7 linked regions of the Mus musculus genome follow. The protein of the gene in region 4 interacts with the protein of the main gene of each other region in a biochemical or structural test. Links are inferred from orthologs where the notes say so. Each region holds a gene or a part of one and is shown on either strand. Other genes may lie near its edges. The genes, in order: Nup153, Kpna2, Kpna4, Kpnb1, Kpna3, Kpna1 and Nup98.

Region 1 (3,500 bases), on a different chromosome or scaffold from region 4:
GTTTATACGTAAATGTGAAACACAATTCATTGTTAAGTATAAAACATTAAAAATTAAAACACACACATAGTTTCAAAGTACAAAGAAAAAACACTATTTTAAAACACCAGACTGTAAGTATAGATGTCAACTATCATACAAACTTACTGGCATTAGCTGTCCCAGAGCCAAATGCAGACTGACTAGGCTGCTGTCCAAACACAGGAGGTTGGCTGCTGCTTGACACTGTCCCAAATATAGGTGGTGGTACAGGCTGAGAACCAGCAGAAAATAATGCTGTTGAAGACGAGATAGAGCCAAAGCTTGGCGGGTTAGGCTGGCTGGCACCTTGACTTTGTCCAAATGTTGGAGTCTGGTTAGCACCAAATGCTGGACTGGCAGATGGTGCTGAATGTCCAGTGCCAAATACAAAGGAGGATCCTGGAGGCCAAGAAATAGTTAAATCAACATCAAGGTTTATATATAATAAGATAACCCTTGAGAAACATTTGTAAATCCACAAATTTCAAGCTACTTTCACACTCTTACCTTGATTACAATTAGATTAGAACAATGAATGACACTGTTTACTAAACATACACTGGTTTAACAAAAGCTTCAATTAACACAACCTTCCCCCTTTGCAACCAACAATCATTTACTAGTAAGAGGGGTGTGCCTGTCAGACAAGGTCTTATAGTATTCCTGGGGCTGGCCTGGAACTGAGTAGCTTAGGCTCAACAATTTTTTCTATAATGGTTTATCTCAAAGACTTGCTCTGAGTCACTGTATAAACACACATCCCATACAACCACTATTACTATCTGGTCGCTTATAAATCTGACATTTCAAAAAGGCAACTTGGAAATGTTATATATTCTTCCTAAAATTAGAAAATACTGTTCTTAAGAATTAGATCTATTCCACCTGAAGTGCCCATTTTTCCACAGGTGAGACCTTAGACCTTACATGAATTGGAGGCACACTGCAGCTGGCAATTCAGCAGAACCAATCCAACTACAAACCCCATTTTTCTCTCCTAGCACAGAAGTACCTGAAGAGCTTGACGTGGTTGTAGCCCCAAAAGTGAACCCAGAAGACACACTATTACTGCTGGCTCCTGTCCCAAATACAAAGGGAGAGGCAGCTGGGGCAGTGCTGGACGTGGTGGCTGGCTCGCTCTCTTGAGGAAATAGCAAAGACTGAGATGTACTGGATTCAGCAGCGTTACCGAAGGCAGAGCTGCTGACAGGATTGCTGGCCTGTCCAAACACAAAGGCTGCCACAGGTGGGTTGGAGGAAGAGGTGGAACTACCAAATATGCCACCACTAGATGAAGTGGCTGGTGCACTTGAACTAGAGGAACTGCTGTTCAAGAAGCTAAAAACTGGCTTTGCTGCACCTTGATCTGCAAAACAATGATTGAGAAACAAACATAAATCCTTAAGGAGGAACAAATCACCTAATATAGTCTCATCAAGTAAACATCAATTCTTTGAAATGTCAAAAGTACTTATCTTTTATGGTCTACAGATTTTCTCTTTACTCAAAGACCCTTAGCATTCAAATAAAAAGTCCTGCTACTATGTGCATAAATTTAATGTAAAATACACTGTCTCACATCCAAATCTAACTTGGTATTATATTCAGAAACCAAATCAGATAGTAGAAGCTGGGTACATTTGTACGTGTCTGTCTGTGCTGTGGTTTATGTCATATTACAATAGCAGCACCCTGACTTCCATTTATCCACATGAACAAATCAACAAAATCTCATCATACTGACTGCACTTGAGTATTTGCTAACTCCTGCTAATAATTAATACACAATGTCACCTTGGTGGCACCCTAAATCTCCTAATCTATACGTATTTCCCTTCGTGGTCACTGTCATTATTATTAGACTGTTATTGATTAGTGCCTGCCTTTCTTCTCACATTCCTTGTGCGTTTACTTTCCCCTACAAATTTCATAGGCAGCTTAGAGCTTGACAAACTCCACAAAAACTAATAACTGAAATGAAAGGAACAAAAGAAATGTTTTCCCCCAGGAATGAGGTTTTTCTATGCTCTTACACTTATCACTGCAGCCATTATAAATTAGAAAGCTGGGCTAGTGAGATGGCTCAGCGGTTAAGCACAATGAATGCTCTTCCAATGGTCCTGAGTTCAAATCCCAGCAACCACATGGTGGTTCACAACCATTAGTAATGAGATCTGGCACCCTATTCTGATATGTCTAAAGACAGCTACAGTGTATTTAGATAGAATGAATCTTTGGGCCAGAGCAAGCGGAGCTGACCAGTGCAAGCAGAGGTCCTGAATTCAATTCCCAGCAACCACAACCATCTGTACAGCTTCAGTGTACTCATACATAAAATAAATAAGTCTTAAAATTAGATAAATAATTAGAAAGCTTAGAAAACACAGGACTTGTTTATGCTGTATAACTACTGATTGGTGACTTGAAGAAAAGCTTCTGATTTCTTATACCACCTGAATCAAACTTCTACTTTCTCAGTATTTCAGCTCTGAAGCTACACACTAGACAGGATGGGCGACTGCTTTCTACAGGTGATAAGATTTCATGATCAAAGCTGGTTACAATATTTCATTTCTCCCCATTTCAAATAATAGGCAGTTTTAATTCTTTTTTTTTTTGTAGGTTGTTTTCAAATTTACACGTAAACATCGAATATGAAAAAACTACTCATGGTTATGTGAATTTCCCATGTGGGGGTTCCCTGAGTGCTTCAAAGGTGTTTAATAAAAAAGTGTCAAAGTTACAAACTTTGCATGTCTGAAAATAGCTACATTTGCTTTTATGTCTGATCAAAATTTTCTAGCTACAAAATGGTTCAAGATGATTTCATTTTATGGGGCACTGTTTGGTACTGAGGATCAAATCCAGGGCTTTGCACAAGCCTTGCAGAATGTTTTCTCTATCACTGGACTAATGCCCAGCTCAGTCGTTTTTATTTTGAAACCAGTGTCTTTTTAAATTTAATTTTTACCTGAATGTGTGTAGGAATCAAATACCCCTGGAGCTGGAATTATAGGCAGTTGTGAACCACCTAAAATAGGTGTTGGGACTCAAAACCTGTGTCCTCTTCAAAGAGCAGTATGCATAACTGCTGGGCCCATCTCTCCAGCCTCAGTGTCTTATTTTATATGCAGAAAATCTTCCTCTAAATTTTCTAATGTTTCCCTATACCACTCTCATTATCTAAGTGAATTCAATTTCAAAAGCACTTTTCAGGTGACACTGCTCTGGGAAACCTCATTACAATAATCAGACCAGACAATGCTCATCCCACCACTCCATCAACCAAACAGCTTTATGTCAACCAACTTCTTTTTAATGAGGTTGTTCCCCACCTCTATTTTAGTTTTCAAATGATCCTGTTTTCTTAGAATTGAATTATATTCACTGCCAATGTTCCTTACATGTTTGATGACTCATTATCCATAATTTGTAAATAAAAATTTACCTAAAACTTATTTTCCCTGACAGTATGCATC
Region 2 (4,215 bases), about 9.8 Mb from region 4:
CCCCCTTTTTGGTTTTTCAAGCCAATGTTTTTCTGTGTAGCTCTGGCTGTCCTGTAACTCATTTTGTAGACCAGACTGGCCTCAAACTCAGAGATCTACCTGCCTCTGCCTCCTAAGTGCTGAGATTAAAGGTGTTCAGCACCCCACCCAGTTGTGATTTTTTTTTTAAATCCTTCAAAGACCAACAAGAGATGGCTCAGCGAATAAAGGCACTTGCCACCAAGTCTGAGGCCTTCAATCTTTCAGAGCCATGTAGAGGAGGAAATTCCTCTACATGTACAACAGGTGCACATAAAAATCCTCCCCCCACATACACAAAAGTAAATAATAAATAAATGCAATTTTAAAAGTTTAAATACCTAAAACTAGAGATGAAGCTTGGGCACAGAAAAAAACCTACCTAGCCTGAGTGTGAAGCTCTAGGATTCAATCCCCAGTCCCTCAGAACTGTTGTTATATAAACATCCCCCTTCCCTTTACAAGCACGCAGGAAAGCAACAGAAGGTACTCACTGTGCTGTCCTTCCCCTTGTTCTTGAACCTGTTAAGTCGGGCAGCTGGTAAGTTAGCATTCTCGTTCGTGGACATGGCTGCAGGAACAAGGAGGAAAGCTAGGAGCCAAGGGAGGGTGAGAAGAAAAAAAAAGAAACAAAGAAAAAGTATTTTTAATAAGAATGCAACAGAAGCTGGGTAGAGTAATACACGCCTTTAATCCTAGCACTTGGGAGGCAGAGACAACCAGATCTCTATCAGTTTGAAGCCAGCCTGGTCTGTAGAGAGTTCCAGGCCAGCTAGGTCTACATAGAGAAACCCTATCTTAAGATGAAACAAACAGAAATATACAATAGCATGTTATAATCAACTAAATCTCAACTCCATTTCTATACTAGATTTAAAAAGCAGCAACGGTGGCACACGCCTTTAATCCCAGCACTTGGGAGGCAGAGGCAGGTGGATTTCTGAGTTCGAGGCCAGCCTGGTCTACAAAGTGAGTTCCAGGACAGGACAGCCAGGGCTATACAGAGAAACCCTGTCTCGAAAAACCAAAAACAAAAACCAAAAAAAAAAAAAAAAAAAACAAAAACAAAGATGACGACACAACACAGCCTGGCAGTGATGGCAAAGCACTCCAAGCACTCAGGAGGCAGAGGTAAAACGGATCTGAGTTTGTGGCCAGTCTAGTATACAGAGTGAATTACAGGACAGCCTGGACTACTCAGGAAACCCTGTCTCAAAAATATATAAATAAAATAAAAACAAAACAAAATCCTACAAGTTTTCATCATTATGGCTATAATACTAAGCCATAATTGCCCCTTACTACAAAGGCAACTTAACTGTCAATCAAAAAAAATTTTAAAAAAAGATAATTTAAAATTTCCACTAACCACAGTGAGCCCCGCAGTGGTGGCGCACTCCTTTAGTCCCAGCACTTGGGAGGCGGGAGGATTTCTGAGTTCGAGGCCAGCCTGGTCCACAGAGTTCCAGGACAGCCAGGGCTACACAGAGAAACCCTGCCTCGAAAAAACAAAAAGAAAGGAAGGAAGGAAGGAAATTAATTTTAAGACTTTTACCCAATATAGCTAAACTATTACCATTTGAGGATGTCATCAATACAGAAAAATTGAGATGTCTTACTGTTTTTATACACCTTCAAAATCCAATGGGTAGTTTAAGCACACGGGGCATCTCAACAGATTAGCGGCTTTTCAAACACTCAATAGTCTTAAGCCTCTAGCCAGCACGGTATTAAGTCAAGGATCTAAATTCTAGGCTCCATTAGTTAATAGAACACCAAGTAGGAGAACAATCTACGTCCTTTGTTTGTTTTATTTTTCGAGACAGGGTTTCTGTGTGTATCCCTGGCTGTCCTCGAACTCAAATCGGCCTGCCTCTGCCTCCCAAGTGCTGGGATTAAAGGCGTGCGCCAACAATGCCTGGCAACCATCTACGTCCTTAAGGCAATAAACGCAGCTCTCGTTTTCTGTTGATCGATGGCCAAAACGGATCCATACTAGTACCCTCTTGCAAGTTACATAAAGAATCGGTTCGTTCCATTATAGGGCCTTCCATCACATCATCGCTGTCAGCAATGGCATTAACGCCGCATCTTGCACACACTTCCAGAGAATGCATTCAGCCGGGATGACATCAGCTGTGATCAGTGGGGCTCGATAGAACCCAGGTGTGGTCGTCGCGAAGGGACAGGAACCCAAAGTACCCTGGTAAGCTAGTAGGTTTAACTGCTTTATGTCCGTCCTCGACCCTGACCCAGGTGATCCGGGTCAAGGGCTTAACTGGGGTGTCTTAACTGCCACCTTCATCCCCTGCCCAAAGCTGCGTCTCCTCCCCGGGGCAGAAGCATCAGGAAAGCGGCGGCACAGCCAGGTAGGTCCGCTCGACTGCGGCTGCCCTCCGGTCCCTCCACGCCGACCCGAGCCGCTCCCAGGCCTTCGCTGCCCTCCGCAGCGCCCGGCGTTGCCAACCCTGACCCCGGCGTGGCGAAACCAACCCGCCCCGAGGCCTGGTCGGAGCAGGGAGGCTCAGCTCCGGCCCGGGCGCGGCCTGCTCCCGCCCTCCGCCCCGCAGCCTTCCGTCCGGCCGTTACTGCTCAGGACCGGCTTCCGTTCCTACCTGTACAGCCGGCTCAGATTTCCACGAAAGGTGGTGCAGGACACTCAAGCTGCGGGTCGGCGGCTGTGGAAACGTCTGCTACCCTTCAGCCCTCAGATTTTGTGCCTCGTGCTGCCGGCCGGCGCGATTTAAATTTCCCGGTGACGCCGCGTTCCGATTGGCTGATTTGAGCCTAAGCTGCGCGTTCATTGGTAGGTTTGAAAAACACGTTAGGCGGGGGTGGGGGTGGGACGCAGACGCAGGTCGTAGGGGAAAAAAAAAAAAAAAGGTGGGGGTGGGGCGGTAAGCAGGGAAGCGTCGCGAGATGAGGGAGCGGCCGGGCAATCCCAGGGTGCCTTGCAGAAGGGTGACTCCAGATCTCAGCACACAGCATGGAGACCTGCGTTTCGTCTATGCTTAGATGGACACTGGGCCGTACCCTGTTTGCTTTCCCTGGGCTTGTCCTTAAACAAACACACGAAATTATTATTACACTTGTAAAAAAAGGCTTAGCTTGCGGTGATTGGCGCAGGCTTTTAATCCCAGCACTAGGAGTTCAAGGCAAACCTGGTTTATACAGCCAGGCCAACCAGGGCTAAATAGTGAGACCCTGTCTCAATCAACCAATCAGTCAATCAATCAATAAAAGAAAAGAGAAATATATTTACTTTAAAAAAATTTTACATCAGGAGCTGGTCACCGGGAGAACGTGGATCTGTGTGCCTCTTAACCATTAGTTGTATCACTATATTGTTTATAGTATTTGTTGATTATTTTATCTTTAGGCAATCATTAGTTGTATCGCTATATTATTGTTTGTGCTATTTACTGGTTATTTAATTTTTATCATGGGGAGTGGGATTGAGGCAGGGTCTCACATTAACAATAGAGCCCAGGCTAGCCTTGAACCTAATGCAATCCTTCCTCAACGTCAGTTCTGGGATTACAGACATGCCCCACTTTGTCCCGTGTGGTAAACTTTTAGATTACTTGGAAAATAAAGACAATGGAAGCCGGGCAGTGGTGGCGCACACCTTTAATCCCAGCATTCAGGAAGCAGAGGCAGGCGGATTTCTGAGTTCGAGGCCAGCATGGTCTACAGAGTGAGTTCCAGGACAGAAGCAAAAAAAAAAAAAAAAAAAGAAAAAGAAAAAGGACAATGGAAGCAGCAAATATGGTAACAATAATTTATTAGCCCGGTGGTGGTGGCGCACACCTTTAATCCCAGCACTTGGGAGGCAGAGGCAGGCGGATTTCTGAGTTCTCTGAGTTCGAAGCCAGCCTGGTCTACAGAGTAAGTTCCTGGACAGCCAGGGCTACACAGAGAAACCCTGTCTCGAAAAACAAAAACAAAAAACCAATAACTTATTAATACCTATTTTCTCCAAACCTTTAAAATTTTTTATTTATTTCTTTATTTTGCTCCCTTCCCCCAAACACACACACACACACACACACACACACACTTAATGGGTTTCTCTGTGTCTCTGTAGACCTGACTGAACTCCACAGACCTCAGAGTGCTGGGACTAAAGGCAGTGTGCCACCACTGCCTGCCTTCAAATACTTTAAAACTTGAGTAATTCTGAACACAGAATCACAA
Region 3 (3,500 bases), on a different chromosome or scaffold from region 4:
ATTCAAGACCTATTAAAAGTAAACATTGAAGCACAAGCTCATCTTGTGGCAGATAAACAAGAGTTAGGAAACAAGTGGAAAGAAAAACAAAGTTGTTGGATATTAGAATACTTTCCAATGTCTTGCAAATCTTTGAAAAAACAAAACACTAAAATTTGTATTTAATCAAAGAACTTTGCTATAACTGGAGAAATAAGACTGAAAAATGGAACTGAGGAACAATAGGTTTTCATAGTTTGACATACACATGTGCGCGCGCGCACACACACGCACGCACACGCACACGCACACGCACACACACACACACACACACACACACGCATGCACGCTCGAATTAGTATTTAAGCTAAATATTCACTTATGCTTCAAAATACAAAAACACAACCATGTGTATATATTCTCAAAAGCCAGATGGCAGCTGGAGTAAGCATAAATGTCAAGAACAATCAATCCTGATGAGAGGAGATGACTAACTGCATCTTTGTAACAGGTTTGACTCCTCACTGAAGCTACAGAAACAGAGGAAATGGAAACATAACAAATAAGTACCTTAACTCTTGAAATGGTAAAGTATGACAGAATACAATTACACACTGTTTTCAGTCCAATATCATAGTGGGAGTCCAGAAGATATACATACACACATACATACATTTATTAATATACGAGAAGAATTTACTCACATTTACATCTGTGTGATGAATTAATACACAAAGAGCTGGAAGAATCTGAGGAGAGAAATATGTACAACTTAAACATACTGATTAAAAGAAAAAACATAAAATGGTATCTAACTATTTTTTTCTTTTATTTACCTCCTGAATTGTCTCCATTGGTGGTGGTGGGTCTTTGTGGCGACATAAATTGACCATAACCCAGGTAACATTTCTTAAGAATGTTATAGGAATAGATGGACTTATGAATGAAAGCAGAGGTTTTACAACTCCAAGACTTATCACATAATCTCTACACTGAGGTCCATCACCTGTAGAAAGGATTAATTAAATAAGATAAATCAACACTAAGCTTTTTCAGAAAACATAAAGCACTGGGTACAATTATGCAGCTACTAACATTTTAATAAGATTTTTTTTAGTTTATATAAAAATACTAGGAATTTAACAAGTAGACATTATAGGTCTTTGAGCCAAGAGAACCAATGTAACAAATATGTGTCTTTATAAGCTGCTCACTTACAGGGTGTCACTAAGATGCAGAAGCCCAAGATTATTTCAAATACTTTGAGCAGACATGTTATCATTACCGCAATGCTTTGTTCAGTATAACAAGCTTTTACATTAATACAATATGTCTAAATAACTATTGAGAAAATTAATGCAGAATTTATACATCATGATTTAATAGGGTCTAGTGTGTTGGCACAAGTCTAATCACAATGTTTTGGAGGTAGAGTCAGTATGGAGATAAGTTTAGCTACACAGTGAGTTCAAAGTTAGCCCAGGATACATGAGACCCATTATCAGAAGCAAAACTAATCCACAGGGGAAAAAAAAAAACTTTCTTGCACTATAATATCTGGTGATGTATATAATTCTAACATGTAATTAGAGAATAAAAAAACAAAAACAAATATCATAATGGTTCTCTACTTTATTATAATAATTTACCATAATGTCTCTTTGATACAGTGGGGTCACAAAATCTTTAAGGAGGGGGATGTCACATATCAGATATCCTGCATATCAGATATTTACAATCCTTAACATTAGCAATATTACAGTTATGAAGTAGCAACAAAAATAACTTTATGATTGGGGTTTGAATATCTCTGGCCCAGGGAGTAGCAATATTAGGAGGTGTGGCCTTGCTGGAAGAAGTGTGTCACTGTGGGGTGGGCAAAGAGACTCTCCTTCTAACCATGTGGGAGCCAGTCTTCTTCTAGTGGCCTTGAGATGAAGATGTAGAACTCTCAGCTTCTTCTGTACCATGCCTGCCTAGATGCTACTATGTTCCTATCTTGATATTGGACTAAACCTCTGAACCTGTAAGCCAACCCCAATTAAAAGTTGTTCTAAGAGTTGTCTTGGTCATGGTGTCTGTTCACAGCAGAAAAACCCCTAACTAAGACAGTGGTCATCACAACATGACGGTGAGCATTAGGAAGGTTGGGAACTTTTAACAGCTTTATACAAAGCTTTGATGCTTGATACAAGAGGCACCCAGATATGCAACGTCACTTCTAAAAGCAGTGTCCTCTACACTAGTAAGTTCACAGAGTACGCTGCTCACAAAAATTAATAGGGGCAATAACAATGCTAACAACACTTACATGCAAATAACTGTGGAAACACATACCTATAACCTCTAAATTCAAAAGGCCGAGGAAGGAATAGGGCTCAGAGTTCAGTAAAACATGGGCTACAGTCAGTCAGGGAGACATAGCAAGACAAAACAAACAATACCCTCCATGTCAGAACAATGAAGACTGTGATGAGTGTTTAGGGCTGTTGAGATGGCTTGGTGAGTAAAGGTGCTTGCTAACACTCTGAGTTCAATACTCAGAACACACGTGGAAGTGTCTAGTCTTTACACATATGCTGTAATATACATGTAAACACACACATATACATATATACAAAGTAAGTGAAGTGTCTTAATTTTTAAAGAATGTCCAGAATCCTCCTTCATCAAAACAAACAAACAAACAAACAAAAAACAAAACAAAAAACAAACAAACAAAAAAACCACCAAAAAAGGGATTTCCAAGATTTCCAAGCCAGATTTCAGTATTGGTTTGGGGGTTGGGGGGTTGTTTTTGTTTTTTTGAGACAGGGTTTCTCTGTGTAGCTCTGGCTGTTCTGGAACTTGCTCTGTAAACCTAAAACTTTCAGAGATCCACCTGCCTCTGCCTCTGCCTCTGCCTCCTGAGTGCTGGAATTAAAGGAAGGAGTGCTGCAACCACCACTAGCTAGTTTTCTGTTTGTTTTCAGACAGCATCTTGCTATGTAGTACAGGTTAGTCTTGAACTCACAGCAATTCTCCTGCCTCAGCCTCCCTAGGTACTGGGATTAGTTCTTTGAATTTTAAAGTCTGAGTTAATACAGCCTCCAGTAAACAGACTTGGCGGTATATAGTCTTGCAATCCCACACTTGGGGTGGGGATTCTCCAGCTGAGGTAAGACGACCATGAGTTTCAGGCAGCCAGATTACCACAAGCAAACAAAAATGCCTCTAGTCTAAAAAAATGCTCAAAATACTGAGATTGTGTCAATTATTTTTCCTACAGTTATTTATAAGGGCAAAGGTCATGATAATGTTCAATAATGAATTAGGCTATTAGATACTTACTGTTAATTCACAATAGAAATATACATTATATACTAAATTTTAATCTCTTATACAAGGTTTTTAGACTGCTCAAGTATGCTATAAAAAGAAAAATTATTTTAATTTTTGCCTACTGTTATTCATAGATGGGGAAAGTTAGTAATAATGTATATATTTTATAACCCTTTAAATAACTAAGAGCTGACTACCAA
Region 4 (4,108 bases):
TCCACAAGGAACGTGGGCTGTGGAGAAGGTGCATTTGCAAGCATATTAGCAATTTCCCCTTGCTTATAAAGTACTAAACTAGAGAAGCACACAAAATTTAGATCAAATCAAGGTATCTCAGGAAACTGGGAAATCTCTCTTTGAAATAGTACCTGCCTAGACTCAACATTGAAGAGGTTTCCTTGGGTTCAAAAAGTTAAGGCCTGACTAAGCAACAAAAGCCACTTCAAGGACAAGTCACCTGCTATATGAAGAAACAGATTCCTCCTATCAAGAACATGTTTTGAGCCCAAGTCTAATAAATATCTCCCCAGAATTAAAGGCAAGTCGATGCCTGGTGACACGGCAATCCTAGTGACAACTTTCTCCAAGCATGTACAACAATGTCCAGTACTGCAAATCAGCTCAACGAAAAGAATTCTTGAAAAGTATATTAAAAAAAAAAAAATCTTGTTCAAAAACATCAGGACAGCCCTGTGATCTCATGTAAGGCATCCTTTCTAACATATGTGTGCCAGTCTAACATACATGTAAGACCGAGTCCTCCGTGTTTTAGTTCTGCATGTTCAACAAAAGGGATCTGTAAGCCAAAGTGTTAACTAGTTTTCAGAAATTGAAAGAATATGACAATGTGAATGATGAATTGTCAAGAGAAATTGGTTTCATCCCAGCACTTAGGAGGCAGAGGCAGGTGGATTTCAGAGTTGGGAGACCAGTCTGGTCTACAGAAAGTGAGTTCCAGGATAGTCAGGGCTATATAGAGAAATCCTGTCTTGACTCCCCCCCGCCCAAAAAAAAAAAAAAAAAAAAGAGAGAGGGGAAAAAAAAAAAAAAACTGGCTTCATTTAGAAGCAGAACATACCAGGGAGCCTATGGTGTTTTGGACCTAATGTGAACTAACAATGAATCATCCAAAAATCTATGTTTTGAAATACAGGTCCAAAAGATAATCATCTATAACACCCCCCTTCCTCTTTCTGAGCATACAGAGGCACACACAGGGGGGTGGGCCTGTACGTAATCTGTCCAATCAGGAATGTTATAGAAGGCCAAAGTAGACACTTTTTTTAGTGTTAGCAAACTCTTCAAACACAGGAGATAATTCTCAATGTAAGCAAACTCTACAGTAGGCTCAGAACACAATTCTCCAATTTCTATTCTGTGCCACTGAAGAGTTAGGAGCAGGAAAAAGGGCTTCTTGCAAAGTAGCAAAAGCAAAACCAAGAATATACTATGAGCAGAATTCTCAGTCTACACTAAAAAGGAAATGCTTGGAAAGGTGTGAGATAAAAAAACCTTAACACAAGTCGCTTACCTCTCCACCAAAAGTGGTCAGTACAAATCAGATATGTCGCTGTATGGATGTTACTATTTTGCAAAGCTCTCACAAAGGACATTGGGTTACAATGTTTTTTTTCACTTTTTAAAACTTCCTACCTTTAAAGAGACTTTCCATATCATCCACGCTTCCCTCCCCTTCCCCCAAAAAGGAGAGGAGAAACATTCTGGCAATAGGCTGCTTCAATAATCCCACATTTTCCTATACAAAAGTCAGTCACTTTTTCTTTTCTCAAATGTACTTCTTAAATCCGAAAGTATGAAAAACGGGGTTACATTTGTGATTTATCAGAGAATAGGCTCAATCTCAGAAATGAGCCTCAGCCTGAGATCCTTAAAGATGAGTTCTCTGAAAACCTAAGTCCAAACAGAACATTCGTGCACTTAGACCAGGAATGGGATAATAATGGGCAAGAAAAAGAAAAAAATTGTGGCAATGGGTCCAGAGGTGGTCGGGTGCCAGGCGTGGCCATGAGCACAGACCAAGGGAGCTGGGGAAGGGTAGGGCTCTGGGAAGTAGTTGCATACTGCCTCAAAACCAGGGGACAGGAAGGAGAGGCCGGCCGCAGCCAGTACAAGGCAGGCGGCAGGGCGCAGAGCTTCCACATGGCCCCTAGGCCCGGCTCCCCAACCCCCACCCTTGCTGAACACGCAGCGCCATGCAACCTAACTTCCCTTCCCTCCCTCTTTCTCCCTCCCGCAGCACCGCCGCCCTCAGGCCGCGTGGCGATTGGACGGCGATCACCCCGGCGCGCCTCGCTATTGGCCAGACGCGGGGCTCGGGGCGGGACACACCCACCGGCTTCCCGATGGCGGGGTTAGGTTGGGCCGGGCGGGGGGGTAGGGGGACGAGCTGGGGCGGGGTGGGTTCCTGAGGCCTGGGCCTCCAGGAGGGCGGGAAGGGCCGCACGCAGGGATGGGGACGCGGCGGGATGGGGCGCGGCGGGGCGGCACGCACCAGATTCTCCACGGCCGCACGCTCGAGGAACTTCTGCGCCGCTTCCAGCTCCAGCCGATCTGCCGGGAGAGATGGGGGGAGAGGCAGCGGGGTCAGAGGGGCCACCCCCTCCCCCACCCCGGTCACCTCGGCCCGACCCCCCGGCCCCGAGTCCTACCCGGAGACACGGTCTTCTCGAGGATGGTTATGAGCTCCATGGCGGAGGTGACGGCGGCGGGGACTCCTCGCAAGACGGCGGCCCGGCCTGTCGGGCGGCGGCTCCGACTGGGGATGGGGGTTGGGGGTCGGGTGGGAAGGGAGGGTGGGGTGGGGGGTGGGGGTCACCACAAGCCCATTCACCGGCTGCCTCTGGCCAGGCGCTCCGGCTCCCCTTCCTCCCCGCTCTCCTTCCTTCCTTCCGCCCTCCTAATGTGCTAGGCGGCAGCAGCTGCTCCTCTGGCGGCGGGGGAGGGACCCCGGGGGCAGCTCGGAGCGCGGCTGCTGCTCGGGCGGCGGAGGGAGAAAGGAAGGGCGGCAGTGAGTGAGTGAGAGGCGGATCGCAGGGAGGGAGAGAGATCGAGGGAGGGAGGCGGAGGGATATCCTTGCCGGACCTCTCCGCGGCGGCACCGCGCTGCCCAGCGATTGGCTACGGCCGGGGCCACGCGGAACCCCCGATTGGCCGGACGGCTAGCGTTGAAGGGCCGCCACGCGCCCATTGGCCTGCGGGCTTCAAGGTCCGGTTGGCTGGGCGGGCAGCGGGATGGGGCGTGCTTATTGGTCGAGGGGAGGGGCTCTGGGGTGGGGCAGGTAAGAGCGCGCCGCTGATTGGGCTGGCCCGGTAAAGGCCTTCGGGCTCAGCCCGGCTGTGCGCGGGGAGAAGGGTGGGCGGAAGGTAAAGGCTCCAGGCGCGTCGGATTGGCTGGGATCCTGGACGTTGATAGGACGGGGCGCCGGGAGAACTGAAGCGAGGAGTTCGGGGTCGCCGCCGCGCGGAAAGGCGGGAGGCGCCCAGGCTCTTAGGAGTCTGGCGCGGAGCACGACGGGACGCCTCCGGGGTGGGGCGGAGCTGCGCGCGAGTGGCTCGGACTGCGCGCTACGGAGAGCCGTCACTCGCCGCGGTGTACGGAAAGCGAGCCTTTCGCGGGCCTCGGAGGGGGCGGGGACGGGAACCGTTAAAGTCCTGCGCCGCGCCCACAGGAAGCTGCCTTCATGGTGAGGTCGGCTTGCTGCCGCGCTCTGTGCGGAACCGGACCATGAGAACCACGTGGTTCACCTTCCAACGTGCGGATTTGCAAACTGAAGCCCAGAGAGAGAGTGGAGCCTGTCCAAGGTCACACAGCCCATTCCAGACTCGAGCAGAGCTGGCTTCAGGCGCCCCTAATTGCCCTTGGAGACCCCGTCGGGGCCCTGGACTGTTAACAAAGTTTCGCGGAGGCGCGTCCTTAGACCACTTAGCAGTTCCCATAAAGCTTTGATGTCCAGACTTCGTTTACAAGATCTGTGTAGTATTATATAAAGAACGTGTGCATTGACGAGCTGTAGCGACACACCTGCCATCTCAGTATCCCGAAGCCTGAACTACAGTCTGAGATCTTGTTTCAAAAACAAAAAACAAATACAACAAACAAGATAAAAATACGTTGCATATAGTTGCTTAACATTCCCCTCCCCTCATTTGGATACCCAGCTGCAAGTCATGGGGGGATTAGGAGCATATGGGTCAAAATAGCATGTAAATTGTATTGTTTTTAAGGTGTAAAGAAATTGCCCTACACTAGCCACACTTTGGAAACTTGGGATTTAGTGTTCTCTGAAACACTTAAAGTCATAGC
Region 5 (3,500 bases), on a different chromosome or scaffold from region 4:
TTAAGACCATCTAGAACCACCTGCACCACTTGAGAATCTTTTACTGACAGTAAGTTACAGAATGGTGGTATTACGTTCTGCTGTACAAGGTATTCAACCTAGACAATACAAGAGAAGAAATATCTGTAATATTTGTTAATTCTTTTTCCTCTAACAACTGCAGTACCCAGACGAAAACATCTAGTAACTTACAAAAATAAGAAGGGCCCTTGCTGAAATTAGTAAAGTGACAAGTTAAATTTTCTCATACTCACTTGATCTTTTCTGCCACTTATCGTTAAGTTGCTAATTGCCCAAGCAGCTTCCTTTTGTGTTCCAAAGTCCCCCTAAAATGTAAAAACAATTTCGCAAAGTAAGCTCTTTATCAAAAACATGTGGGTTGTAAAAAATTAAGATAAATAATGAATTTATAATATAACTGACCTTAGCGAGCTGATGAATAATCATAGGGATTAACCCAGCATCTATTACAGCTTGAACTTGCTGCTGATTGCCTGCTGTTATATTGGAAAGGAACCATACTGCTTCCTGTAGTGAACAAAATATGGACCACTTTTATTGAAAAAGCTACTTTTAATGTTTTTATTTTTCTCTTTAATATTTTAAATATTTGATAACAAAATCTCCTGAGTAGTGTTAAAGTGACCAAATCTAAAAAGTGATCGGTTGTGCAAGACTGCCCTTTTAATTTTACTTACTATCGCTGTATGCGATTCTAGTTTTGGTATATAAGCAAAGGTTGTACACATCTGTGCCACAGTGCATATGTGCAGGTCAGACAAATTCTAACTTTTGAGATTTGGTTCTCTCCTTCCATCATGTGGCTCTAGAGATCTAACTCAGGTTGTCAGGTTTACAAGGCAAGCATTGTACCTGCTATTTAGCCAATTCAGACTTCCCATTTAAGTAAAGAGGAAGGAAGCTTCCAGTCGTGATACTCGTATGTCCACTAAACCCAGTGTTTATGTAATGATCTGTAAGCCTACTTTAAGCTAAGCATAATTCTAAGTAGATACAACAGCAAATAAAGCAGCCTCAAACCTTTCTCCACAGAGTTGTATTAGTTTATTTTGAAAGGCATGCCCAAAGATTGGAATTTCCAAATTCTTGTCAAAACTACTTCCACTACAAGATATTTATTTTAAAGCATTAGGTCAGGGGAGAAGGTTCGGTGGATAAGGTGCCTTCTACAAGAACATGAGGACCTGCGTTCAGGTACTCAGCACCTATGCGAGACACATGGTGACCAACAACTATAGCCACACAGCTTGAGAGAAAACGAAACCCTAATACACTGTAAAGTACAGCCATAAGGGAAAATAGTTTAAAGGGTCCTCAAAAAACTACCACACAGTTACCATGACTGCAGCAACTTCTAGCAACATCAGAGAGTAAACTAAATCAAAGACTTGAAAGTTACTGATGTGTCAGTGTTTTCTGCAACTTTATTCACAATAGCCAAGCAGTGGCAACAACCCCAGTGTCATTCAACAGGTAAATGAGAAAAATGTGGTATAACATCCAACAGAGTGACTTATTCGGCCATAAAAGCAAATCAGGTCAAGGCTTGCTTGGGAGGAGGCTGAGGTGGTGAAGTGCCTGCCATACGAGCATGAGCCCCGACGAGATCTCTAGCACCCATCTAGAACCTCGGCTCACTGACACATATCTGTAACCCAAGCACTGGTGAGGCACAGACACAAAAGATCTGTAGTGCTCAGGTCCAGTGAAAGACATTGCTTCAAAACACAAGGTGAGAGCATGATCTGTTCTCCAAAACCAGAGCCCAGCTCCTAGGAACACCTGGGCAGCTCAGTCACCTCCTGGACCTCCACCAGCTCAGGGAGGGAGGGGCTGTTTCTGACCTCTACTGGCACCTGCATTTATATGCACATGCCCACCCACCCATACACAGAATTAAAAATAATAAAAGTCATTTTTAAAAATACAATGTAGGGAGTAACTGAGGAAGATAACTGATGCTGACCTTGGTCCTTCCCCCTCACACACATAAACACACACACACAGCTCTAACATTCTATTAAATAAATGAACTTTAAAACAAGACATAAAACTACTTAAGTGTCTGCTGTCCAATTACAAATACATTTGTGTGTGTGTGTGTGTATTTAAAACTTTAAAGGAATACATTTTATGATCTTTGAAAGAAGACATGATACCCTAAGGTCTTTTCTATGTTGTAGAAGATTAAATTACATGTTTATTTTTTAAAAATACCAGTTATTTTTGTGGGAGGTTTTGTATGTATTTTTTGTATACTGGTTAATAACTTAATAATTACCAATTTTGCTCAACCTATTTAAACATAAAAAGTCCAAATATTCACTATTTTTATTCTGTGCTGAGAGTGGGACTAAAGGAAGCAGACAGTGATGAAACAGTAAAACCGTGACAAAGATCTCTCCCCTGGAGTGTCATGACTGAATAAACATCCTAATAGCAACGAGGAAACCGTCATAGAGAGGAGAAGCAACAGTGCATGCCTTTACCTTATTTATTTTCTCTTTTGGGTGTGACAAGAGGTTTGGGAAGTGGGACAGGACATCACAGTTGAGAACCACCTGGGTCTGCTCATCAGTGCCAGTCACTATGTTCCCAACCGCTCTGAGTGCTGCAGTCTGAAGGAGGAAGAAAACAGTTTTAAACATGTTTATAATGAAATTGTTGTTTCCGTCTTTTTCATTAACTCTTGAGAGACTGTGAGGAACAAAAAATTAACATTTATTCCATCCCTACAACAAAGCCATAAGCAAACCAAGCAATGGCTTTTAAACAGTAATTTCTTGTGGTATTTTTTTTTTAAGATTTATTTATTATTATACATGAGTACACTGTAGCTGACTTCAGATACAACAGAAGAGGGCATCAGATCTCATTACAGATGGTTGTGAGCCACCATGTGGTTGCTGGGATTTGAACTCAGGTCCTTTGGAAGAGCAGTCAGTGCTCCTACCCACTGAGCCATCTTGCCAGCCCCCAGTGGAAAATTATTGAACTCCACATAAAACTTTCTAGGAAAGTTTTTTAAATAGCGAAAACTAAAATTTATGAAGTCCCATCTTTAAAACAGTTCTTATTCATCACTGAACAGGTCCCATAGACTTTAATATTATTCTGAATTAGCATGCATTTGTGTCTACCACGTCATATACAGTCCTGCATTTAATATATTTAATGTCATTCTGGGTCAGCATTTATTTTTAGTTGGTAAAACATTTGGCAGAGAAGTATAATGAGCAGAATTTACAACAACCCCTAATCAGAGCACAGCAAAAGGTATGCAGTTAGGATACTATCCCAAAGGCAGACTGAAGACTTCAGTGAAAAGAAAAGGGACCTGAAACAGAGCAGGATGAAGGAGGAGCCTAAGCATTCAGCAGCAAGGATGGAGAAGGAACCCAGGAATCCAGCAGGACATGAAGGAGAATGCAGGCATCAGATATGCACCATGCTGTCCCTAACAGGATACTGAACACAGG
Region 6 (4,056 bases), on a different chromosome or scaffold from region 4:
TGTAGGTAATATCTTTATTCTCTTTACTTGACCATAGGTTTTCTAGGTCTGATTTTGTAGACCTTTTGGGAGGGTTAACTACAGGCCTCTGGCATGCTATACTCCTGCAGGTTTTGCTTTCTTGTTTTGTGACAGGGTAAAGTTCTAGGCTAGCTTCAAAACTCAGGATCTTCTGGCCTCTGTCTGTGCTAGGATTATAGGAACTAGCTACTATCTCTTACAATGCATTTTGAGACAGGGTTTCTCTGTATAACCCTGGTTGTCCTGGAACTCACTTTGCAGACCAGGATGGCCTCGAACTCAGAAATCCGCCTGCCTCTGCCTCCCAAGTACCGGGACTAAAGGCGTGCGCCACCACACCGGGCTTTACAATGCATTTTTATCAGCAAATATTTTTTTCCCTAGAACAAAGTCTTCTTCTAGAGGTTTCTGGACTAGAAAGATGGTTCAGCTGTTAAGAGCACTTGCTGTTCTTGCAGAAGACAGGTTTGGTTCCTGGTACCCAAACTCAAACCATCTTCAACTCCACTTTTAGAGACTCTAACACCCTCATATGGCCTCTGCAAGCACCAGGCACCATCATGATGCACTTACAAACATTCACACACTTAAAAAGGAAATAAAATATTTATAAGAAACAAGCTATTCTTTTTTTTAAAAATATTTGTTACTATACATAAGTACACTGTAGCTGACTTCAGACGCACCAGAAAGGCACCGGTGTCAGACCTCATTACAGGTGGTTGTGAACCACCATGTGGTTGCTGAGATTTGAACTCAAGGCCTTTGGAAGAGCAGTCAGTGCTCTTACCCACTGACCCATCTCACCAGCCCAAAACAAGCTATTTTTAAAACTAATACTGTGTTCTTCCGTGCTTTCATTTATGCTAGGAAAAGCTAATATCTGCTTCAAAGTTGCTGTAAATTTGCTTTTATTTCTTTACTTCTTCTCAGGCCTCCATCTTAAAATTGTATATCACATAAACGATAATCCGCCAAGAATAAGTTATTTCAGCAAAACTAAAAAGCTAAACCATTCTCAAGTTCCTTTCAAAATTTAGACCTTTCAGCCTTTAAAATGGAGAAAGGAGGTCAGGTGTGACAACACACGTCTTTAATTTCAGAATTCCAAGAGCAGAGGCAGGTGGATCTCTGAGTTCAGTGGCAGCCTGGTCTATGTAAGAATTCCAGAGCTATGTAATGAGACCCTATCTAAAAGTAAGTATATAAATAAGTAAATGTTGTACACATCATGAATACAAATTTATACTAACACCCGCACGTGCAGGCATGCTGTAACCCCAAACACTTGAGAGGCTGAGGCAGGAGTGTTTTGAGTTCAAGACAACCAATGTAATGCTAGGCCAGCCATGACTAAATAGTGAGACTTGTCTCAAAAACAAAGAAAAGGCAACCTACAGGCAAGAAGGTTGGGACTAGTTAGTACCTACTTTGATATCTAGACTGATGGAAATTTTGAACTGACTGTGTAGTTTCTGTGTGACTCTGAAATCCTGCCACCCCGAAGGCCAGGGCAGGATAAGAAGCTCAAAGCCAGCCTACCAAACAAAACCCAACCTCAAAAAAAAACAGGCTGGGCAGTGGTGGCGCACGCCTTTAATCCCAGCACTTGGGAGGCAGAGGCAGGTGAATTTCTGAGTTCCAAGACAGCCTGGTCTACAGAGTGAGTTCCAGGACAGCCTGGTCTACAGAGTGAGTTCCAGGACAGCCAGGGCTACACAGAGAAACCCTGTCTCGAAAAAAAACAAAAACAAAAACACAAAAAAAAGAGGAGGAGGAGGAGGAGGAGGAAGGAGGTGTTTGACGGAACTCTTTTAAGAGGGAAAAGGCCAGACAATAGTGTTTAATATCTCAAAAGCATTTCTCGGTGGCTGATTCCTATAGTAATTTACCAAGCCGAAGTTTAAGCCTTAAAATCAATTCATGTGAAACTTTTCATTGAAAAGTGGTTTGGAAGCAGCTGCATTCAACCCACACATTCTTTCTTGCCGATGTCCCTGATCCCAGTCACCCTCCAGTTTTCTGCTCCCAATGCGAGCCTCAGCTAAGGCTTGGCGGTTTCCCTCGCATCGCCGGCTCACACAGCCGACCAACTTGTCATTGCTATAATTACCACACCCCCGTCAGCAGCTCCAGGCCCGCGTAGTTATGACATCTGTAAACTGCAAGCCTCCCGTCTCCACCCCCACCTCCCTCCAAACACCGGCCCCGGTGGTAACCTGCCAACTCCCCGATCGGCCCCGCACGCCTCGGCCTCAGCCACCGCACTCCGCGCCGCCCGCCCCCGCCCTCAAGCTAGCGCGGCGCGCAGACTCCGCGCCGCCGCCCGGCGCCCCGCAGTCCCCGACGCCGCTTCCACCGCCGCGCCGCGCCGCGCCGCCCCGCCCCGACCGGCGTTCCTCACGGCGAGCACCAGCGTTCCCCACCCCCACCCCGCTCCGCCGCCGCGCGGCCGTTAGGACCGCCGGGCCCGTGACGCACCGGAGCGACGCGAGGGTCCGGTCCCCGGCGCGCCCGAGCCAGCTCCGGCTTCCGCCCGCGTCCGCCTTCGCCCCGGGGCCTCCCTCGGGTCCGCGGAGGGGGACCCAGAGCCGCCCGCCGAGGGGGAGGGGCCGCGAGGTGCCCCCACTCACCGGCTCCAGGCGACCGGTCCCGGTGCCACTACGAAGAGGGAGACGCTCGCTCTTGGCCCGCCCGCTGCGCCTCTTCTGCGCACAACCTTGACCAGCCGGCGCGCACCACGGCGGCGCTCACCAGGCCTCGCTCTCCGCTGCCGCTCACAGAGCCGCGAGACCCAGCTCAGCCGGCGTGCGCACTGCGCCTGCGTGCGGGGGCCGGCCGGCGCGCCTGCGTGCGCTTCTCCGCCGCCTGCCGCAGGGGCTGCCGGGAAGCGGAGTCTCCGAGCGTGGACGCCCTAGGCTAGCGGCGGCCAGGGAAAAGGCGGCGGCCAGGGCGTGGGTCTCTGCGGACCAGGTTGGCAGTCAGTAAAAGCGCAGACATATAGAAGTTATGGAAACAAACTTGTCCTTACTAAGCTCTTCCAGAATGGACGGATTCCCCCTCACATCAATATAGCTTCCCTCTCACATGGTAGGTACCTCACAGCCGAGCATGCTTATTGGATGAATGATGGCATGGTTGGAGGCTGAGGGAGTATTACAAAATACGTCAGTGTCTCACGTTCAAAGAATTCACATGCAACCCGTTTGCAGGAACTTTCTGGGTATTCTCTTCAGTTCTCACCCATCTTACCCGGTAATTTATTAGTATCATATAACATTAAATCGCTTTTTGAGCCTAGCATGACGGTAACGCACGCCTGTATTTTCAGCTCTAGGAAGTCTGAGGCAGGAGAATGGCGAATTCTAGACCAGCATTACTACGTAGAAAGACCCCTATCTCAAAAACGGCAATTTCCAGCGAAAATATTTGCGTTGCTATGAGAAGGCACGCTAAAACAAAATATTTAGGGAAATGACTTAACCGTTACATGATAGAATTTTTTTTTCTTTCTGGGGAGTAGAGCGGTGGCTTCAAAGGAACACTTTAAGACAGCAAGTAGAGGTCACAGGAAAATCACAACCACAGGACACGGTTTAACAAGTCAGTTTAAAAGGAATACTGAGGAGCACCGGACATGAATCTGTAGAACCCCCGAAGGGAGACCCTCACTCAAGTCTCAGGGATCGCGAGCCCAGAAAGCCACAGTCACGCTTGCTGCAAACACACGAGGTTTTTAATGGCACACAAACCAGCATGCTGAGGTCGAGACCCATACACCACGCAGGGGTAGAGGAGTCTGACCCCAACCCTATTTTCCAGCAGGTTTATAAAGGTAAAAACCAGAACCTAGGGGGAGGATGGGAGAGGAAACAGGGGAAGTCTAGGGGCGGATATTTACTTCAAGGCACCTGGGACATTGAAACATTTTGTGGTTGTTTTTCCCAAGAGTTCCAGGGAATTAGGCCATCTGGCCGGGGGCGGGGGCCCATGTTCTCAGGGCAGTCATTATTTTATTTTTTTACTCTTCATTTC
Region 7 (4,267 bases), on a different chromosome or scaffold from region 4:
GGTTATACATACACAACACAGATGTGCAGGTTCCTAGACAAGTTGTGGAAGTGGGTTTTCTTCTGGAGTCAGACTGGAGTCATCAGGCAGCAAGCACCATTACCTGCTGCTGAACCATCTCAATGGCTGGCTCTGCTGCTTTGTCCCCTTGAAAGTGTGAGTTACACGCTCACTCCCAAAACACAGGGTACATTTTTTGAACCTGTCAAACCAACCATGCTGTATTTTTTTTCACATTTCTATGTTCTTTAAGTTGGGGGAGACCTTTTGTGTTGAGTGTAGTAGTTCAGCGCTCAAGCTTCTCAGGCCAGACTATTAGGTTTCCCACACTGCGTAAGTCACTAAGTTAGTTAACCCTGTCCTCCTTTCCCCAGGAGGGCTGTGTGGAGTGATGGCTAGAGTAGTCAGTGCGTAGCCAGTATGTATCTATCCAACAGGGTTTTCATCCACTGCTGATCACTAGCCCCAGGCCAGGCATATAGTGGCATACTTCAGTAGTCATTGAAGAAACATTTCTAGTTGATTCAGTTCATTTATTCAACATAGTCATTAAGAAGCCAAAAAATGCTAAATACTATGGATTTGGGAGCTTTAGGGGTAAACAGCATGTTGTTTCCTTGCTAAAGTACTGATTTAGTGGGGAAAACGTGTGAGCAAGCCAGCAATACTACAGAGTAAAGGAAAAGATCTACCTTAGATTGTTGATTCTGTGCCAGTCACAGTGTAGCTCAATAGCCATATTGATAACCTAATGAAACGCAATCAGTCCTCACTTACAATCCAGTCTGGGGCTGGAGAGGCTCAGTAATTAAAATCACTTGCTACACTTGCAGAGGTTCGATGTCTTAGCCACATGGTGGCTCACAGACATTATCTAATCCAGGGTTCTCTTCTACCCTCACACATGCAGACAAAACATCATGCACAAATTAATATCTTTACCTTCCCAGTTCTGTTTTGCTGTTTTCCTCTTTTACCGCATGCATTGCATATGAACACTTTACACCTCACAGGACTTGGCTGTTTCCTTTACCTGGAAAGCTCTGCCATGTTTTTAGGAAGGTCTCAGCTTCCAAATAGTCTCCCTAAAGAAGCTCTCCCTGCTCTGAAAAGACATCCAGTTTCTTTATTTCCACAGCTTACAATTCAAGGTTTTCTTGTCTGTAAGATTCATGAAAGCAAGATGGCAGAGGGTTAGAGTAGTTTGTGTTTAGGGATAAATCAGTGGATTCTGCAAGGCCTCTTCAAAGTGAGGTCTAGAGCGCTGGTAGCCAAGCTTGATGACCCGAGTTCAATCTCCAAAACTCACATGGTGAAAGGAGACCTCCTTTGATGCGTCCTTCCATGGCATGCATTCAGACACTGAGTAGCCTGTAGGAAGAGCCGGTGGAGGGAGAAAAGTAAATCAGGTTTGTCTTTAATGTCACTGAGCCTGGTGTGGTGGTACAGGGCTGTAATTTACCATGGTAAACAAGAGGGTAATGGCAACTCTGGGGTCAACCTGGGGTGCAGAGGGAGTTCTAGGCCAGCTGGGGCTACATAGCAAGACAGTATCTCAAAAAACAAATGATTATAGAGTGTGACACAGTAGTGTGGCGAAGCTCCTAAGGTGTTTGAGTGAGAAGTAATGATGGTCCAAGCTTCAGCAAGGGGTGTGGCACAGGAATGGAAGATTGTTGTATTGGGCTTGAACTAAGGACTTAGAAATCAATACAATGACTATAATTGGAACCATAGGGATGGATCAGGAGAGTGTATAAATGAGTAGATCCTGCACTGTTTTAGACCTTAGAATAAAGAGACATAAATGCTGGTTTAAATGTCACCTCTTATTACATGTGTGTCTCTGAGTGTCATAGATTTATCCTCGGTATTTTGGTGTTGTGTAAAGACTTTGTGGTTTGTGAATCATGATCTCAAGACCTGTGCAGCACAGGCTCTGTGTTCTTTCCCTTATGTTACTGTTAGTGCCCTGTCCTTAGCAACTAGATGATATGTTGGTAGCGTGGGTTTTCTCCCCTCCTATCAATGTCCTAAGATTTTGTGTCATCTATGAGTGGGATTGAAGTATACGTGGGGTTTTGTTTGTTTGTTTGTTTGTTTGTTTGTTTTGGTGGTGGTACTGTTTTGTTTTTGATTTTTGAGACAGGGTTTCTGTTTATAGCCCTGGCTATCTTGGAACTCATTTCATAGACCAGGCTGGCCTCACACTCAGAGATGCGTTGAAGTGCTGAGATTAAAGGCATGTGAGGGAGAAATTTCTTTTATCCTTACTGGTTTCTCTGTTTTCCTGTAGGTGGATTGCTCAGGTTATGAACTAGAGCACTTACATACCAAAGTGACTTCACTGTGCAATCGGATAGAACAGATTCCGTGTTACAATGCCAAGGATCGCCTGGCTCAATCAGGTTAGCATGTGGGCTTTATTCATTCATGGCTATTTCACCCCACACCAGTGCCACGTTCTCAGCACTCACTCTGTTTTTTCTGTCTAGATATGGCCAAGCGGGTAGCCAACTTACTGCGGGTAGTGCTGAGCCTTCAGCATGCTCCTGATGCCACCTCCAACTCAACGCCAGACCCTCAGCGAGTCCCTTTGCGTCTTTTGGCTCCCCACATTGGCAGGCTCCCCATGCCTGAGGACTACGCCTTGGAGGAACTGCGAGGCCTTACCCAGTCCTACCTTCGAGAACTGACTGTTGGGAGCCAGTGAGCTTGGCTCTTGCCACCACACTCATGCCCACTCACACTCGCCACACCACAGTCCCCAGCACTGTTTTAGTTGACACTTTGCCAATCTCTGGGAATCCTCCATTCCTTTCTGCTGCATCTTCTAGTTATTCAGGGGTTTTCCTAATACTGAGCATAGCCTACAATAGCTCATAAGGGCTTCTGGAACAACAACAAAGAAGACAGGTCTCCATTTATCAACCTCAAGACCTTTTTTTTTCTTTTTCTTTTTTTTTTTTTTTTTTTTCTTTTGAAAAATGGTCAATAAAACCTCTTTGGCAGAACCTCCCAAAACCTAGGGAATTCTTTTCCACACCCAGCGTTCTGGCTCTCACCCCATGCCAGCATCTAACCTCCACCACTGCGATCCTTTTGTACCGTGACTGTTTGACAGACATCTGGCATATGACTGACTGACCTTCCTTACAGATTTGTCCCTCAAGTAGATTTCTCAGTAACGGTGGATTTTGGAGTCAAAAGAGAGTTGGACCTTGTTCTTTGGTAAATTTAAGATAGAAGGGCTGTCTGCCATAGAGGTAGAGATCTTCAAGGCCTTTACTCATGCCCTGTGTATCCTTTGGACACCATACTATCATGCGCAGTGGCCCCAAGCCACCGAGAACCAGTCTGAGAAGCTCCAGATTCGCTCAGGCCCTTGATCATCAGTCGTCGTCGTCTTCGATTTGCCAGAGGAGTTTAGATGAAGAATGTCAAGGATGTTCCTCCCTGCCCTCCCATCTAGCCAAGAACATTTCCAAGAAGATAAAACTGTCACTGAGACAGGTCTGGATGCGCCCTAGGGGCAAATAGAGAAGGCCTTTACCACATTGCTGCTGGCTATAGGAAGTCCCAGGTACTAGCCTGAAACAGCTGATATTTGGGGCTGTCACAGACAATATGGCCACCCCTTGGTCTTTATGCATGAAGATTATGTAAAGGTTTTTATTAAAAAATATATATATATATATAAATGATCTAGATTATTTTCCTCTTTCTGAAGTACTTTCTTAAAAAAATAAAATTAAATGTTTATAGTATTCCTGGTGGTATTGACTTTCTCTTTGTGTTTTTGGAGACTCTGAGAAGAAACCGATCCTAAGTTAAAGAGCGAGCGAGGGGCTGAGGAGTGAGTTCAGAGGGTCAGAGCACTAACCACACAAGTCTGACAATCCAAGTTTAGTTCTCAGACTCCTGATAAAGCAAGCTGTGTTGTTAGCACACATCTGTAATCCCAGTGCGCTGTATGTGCCTGGCAGCACTCTCATGGATACATGTTTACGTGTATTTTGATCATATCCATCACTCCCACTCTGAATTTCCAGCATTCTGGTTTTGTTTTGTCTTTGTCTGAATTTATTAATATTTTATGTGTATTGTGGTTTGCCTGTATGTATTCACCACTACAAAGTGAGTTCCAGGACAGCCAGGGCTACACAGAGAAACCCTGCCTTGAAAAACAAAAAGTATATTCAGATGAACAACTTCAATTTAGAATCTACGTGCATAAATTTGTGTGTAGTATTTATCAATCAGTAAC

The links.
Region 1: the proteins of Kpnb1 (region 4) and Nup153 form a complex in vitro, tested with the Homo sapiens proteins (4 studies listed by BioGRID and IntAct, with this or other methods). The link is inferred for Mus musculus from reciprocal best matches to the Homo sapiens genes KPNB1 and NUP153.
Region 2: the proteins of Kpnb1 (region 4) and Kpna2 form a complex in vitro, tested with the Homo sapiens proteins (6 studies listed by BioGRID and IntAct, with this or other methods). The link is inferred for Mus musculus from reciprocal best matches to the Homo sapiens genes KPNB1 and KPNA2.
Region 3: the proteins of Kpnb1 (region 4) and Kpna4 form a complex in vitro, tested with the Homo sapiens proteins (2 studies listed by BioGRID and IntAct, with this or other methods). The link is inferred for Mus musculus from reciprocal best matches to the Homo sapiens genes KPNB1 and KPNA4.
Region 5: the proteins of Kpnb1 (region 4) and Kpna3 form a complex in vitro, tested with the Homo sapiens proteins (2 studies listed by BioGRID and IntAct, with this or other methods). The link is inferred for Mus musculus from reciprocal best matches to the Homo sapiens genes KPNB1 and KPNA3.
Region 6: the proteins of Kpnb1 (region 4) and Kpna1 form a complex in vitro, tested with the Homo sapiens proteins (6 studies listed by BioGRID and IntAct, with this or other methods). The link is inferred for Mus musculus from reciprocal best matches to the Homo sapiens genes KPNB1 and KPNA1.
Region 7: the proteins of Kpnb1 (region 4) and Nup98 form a complex in vitro, tested with the Homo sapiens proteins (3 studies listed by BioGRID). The link is inferred for Mus musculus from reciprocal best matches to the Homo sapiens genes KPNB1 and NUP98.

What each region holds. Positions count from the first base shown.
Region 1 is NC_000079.6:46,682,850-46,686,349, forward strand, and holds part of Nup153 (nuclear pore complex protein Nup153), read right to left. Parts: intron 1,388-3,500; coding exon 1,034-1,387; intron 421-1,033; coding exon 148-420; intron 1-147. UniProt on the Homo sapiens protein: Component of the nuclear pore complex (NPC), a complex required for the trafficking across the nuclear envelope. Functions as a scaffolding element in the nuclear phase of the NPC essential for normal nucleocytoplasmic transport of proteins and mRNAs.
Region 2 is NC_000077.6:106,996,726-107,000,940, forward strand, and holds the start of Kpna2 (importin subunit alpha-1), read right to left. Parts: upstream 2,801-4,215; 5' UTR 2,634-2,800; intron 611-2,633; 5' UTR 588-610; coding exon 513-587; intron 1-512.
Region 3 is NC_000069.6:69,089,093-69,092,592, forward strand, and holds part of Kpna4 (importin subunit alpha-3), read right to left. Parts: intron 986-3,500; coding exon 816-985; intron 729-815; coding exon 684-728; intron 1-683. UniProt on the Homo sapiens protein: Functions in nuclear protein import as an adapter protein for nuclear receptor KPNB1. Binds specifically and directly to substrates containing either a simple or bipartite NLS motif.
Region 4 is NC_000077.6:97,185,093-97,189,200, forward strand, and holds the start of Kpnb1 (importin subunit beta-1), read right to left. Parts: upstream 2,801-4,108; 5' UTR 2,494-2,800; coding exon 2,454-2,493; intron 2,356-2,453; coding exon 2,297-2,355; intron 18-2,296; coding exon 1-17.
Region 5 is NC_000080.6:61,370,448-61,373,947, forward strand, and holds part of Kpna3 (importin subunit alpha-4), read right to left. Parts: intron 2,640-3,500; coding exon 2,511-2,639; intron 529-2,510; coding exon 424-528; intron 327-423; coding exon 255-326; intron 99-254; coding exon 1-98. UniProt on the Homo sapiens protein: Functions in nuclear protein import as an adapter protein for nuclear receptor KPNB1. Binds specifically and directly to substrates containing either a simple or bipartite NLS motif.
Region 6 is NC_000082.6:35,982,107-35,986,162, reverse strand, and holds the start of Kpna1 (importin subunit alpha-5), read right to left. Parts: upstream 2,801-4,056; 5' UTR 2,655-2,800; exon of another isoform or gene 2,503-2,654; intron 1-2,502. UniProt on the Homo sapiens protein: Functions in nuclear protein import as an adapter protein for nuclear receptor KPNB1. Binds specifically and directly to substrates containing either a simple or bipartite NLS motif.
Region 7 is NC_000073.6:102,118,900-102,123,166, reverse strand, and holds the end of Nup98 (nuclear pore complex protein Nup98-Nup96 isoform 1 precursor), read left to right. Parts: intron 1-1,104; exon of another isoform or gene 1,105-1,371; intron 1,372-2,296; coding exon 2,297-2,408; intron 2,409-2,495; coding exon 2,496-2,713; 3' UTR 2,714-3,767; downstream 3,768-4,267. UniProt on the Homo sapiens protein: Plays a role in the nuclear pore complex (NPC) assembly and/or maintenance. NUP98 and NUP96 are involved in the bidirectional transport across the NPC. May anchor NUP153 and TPR to the NPC.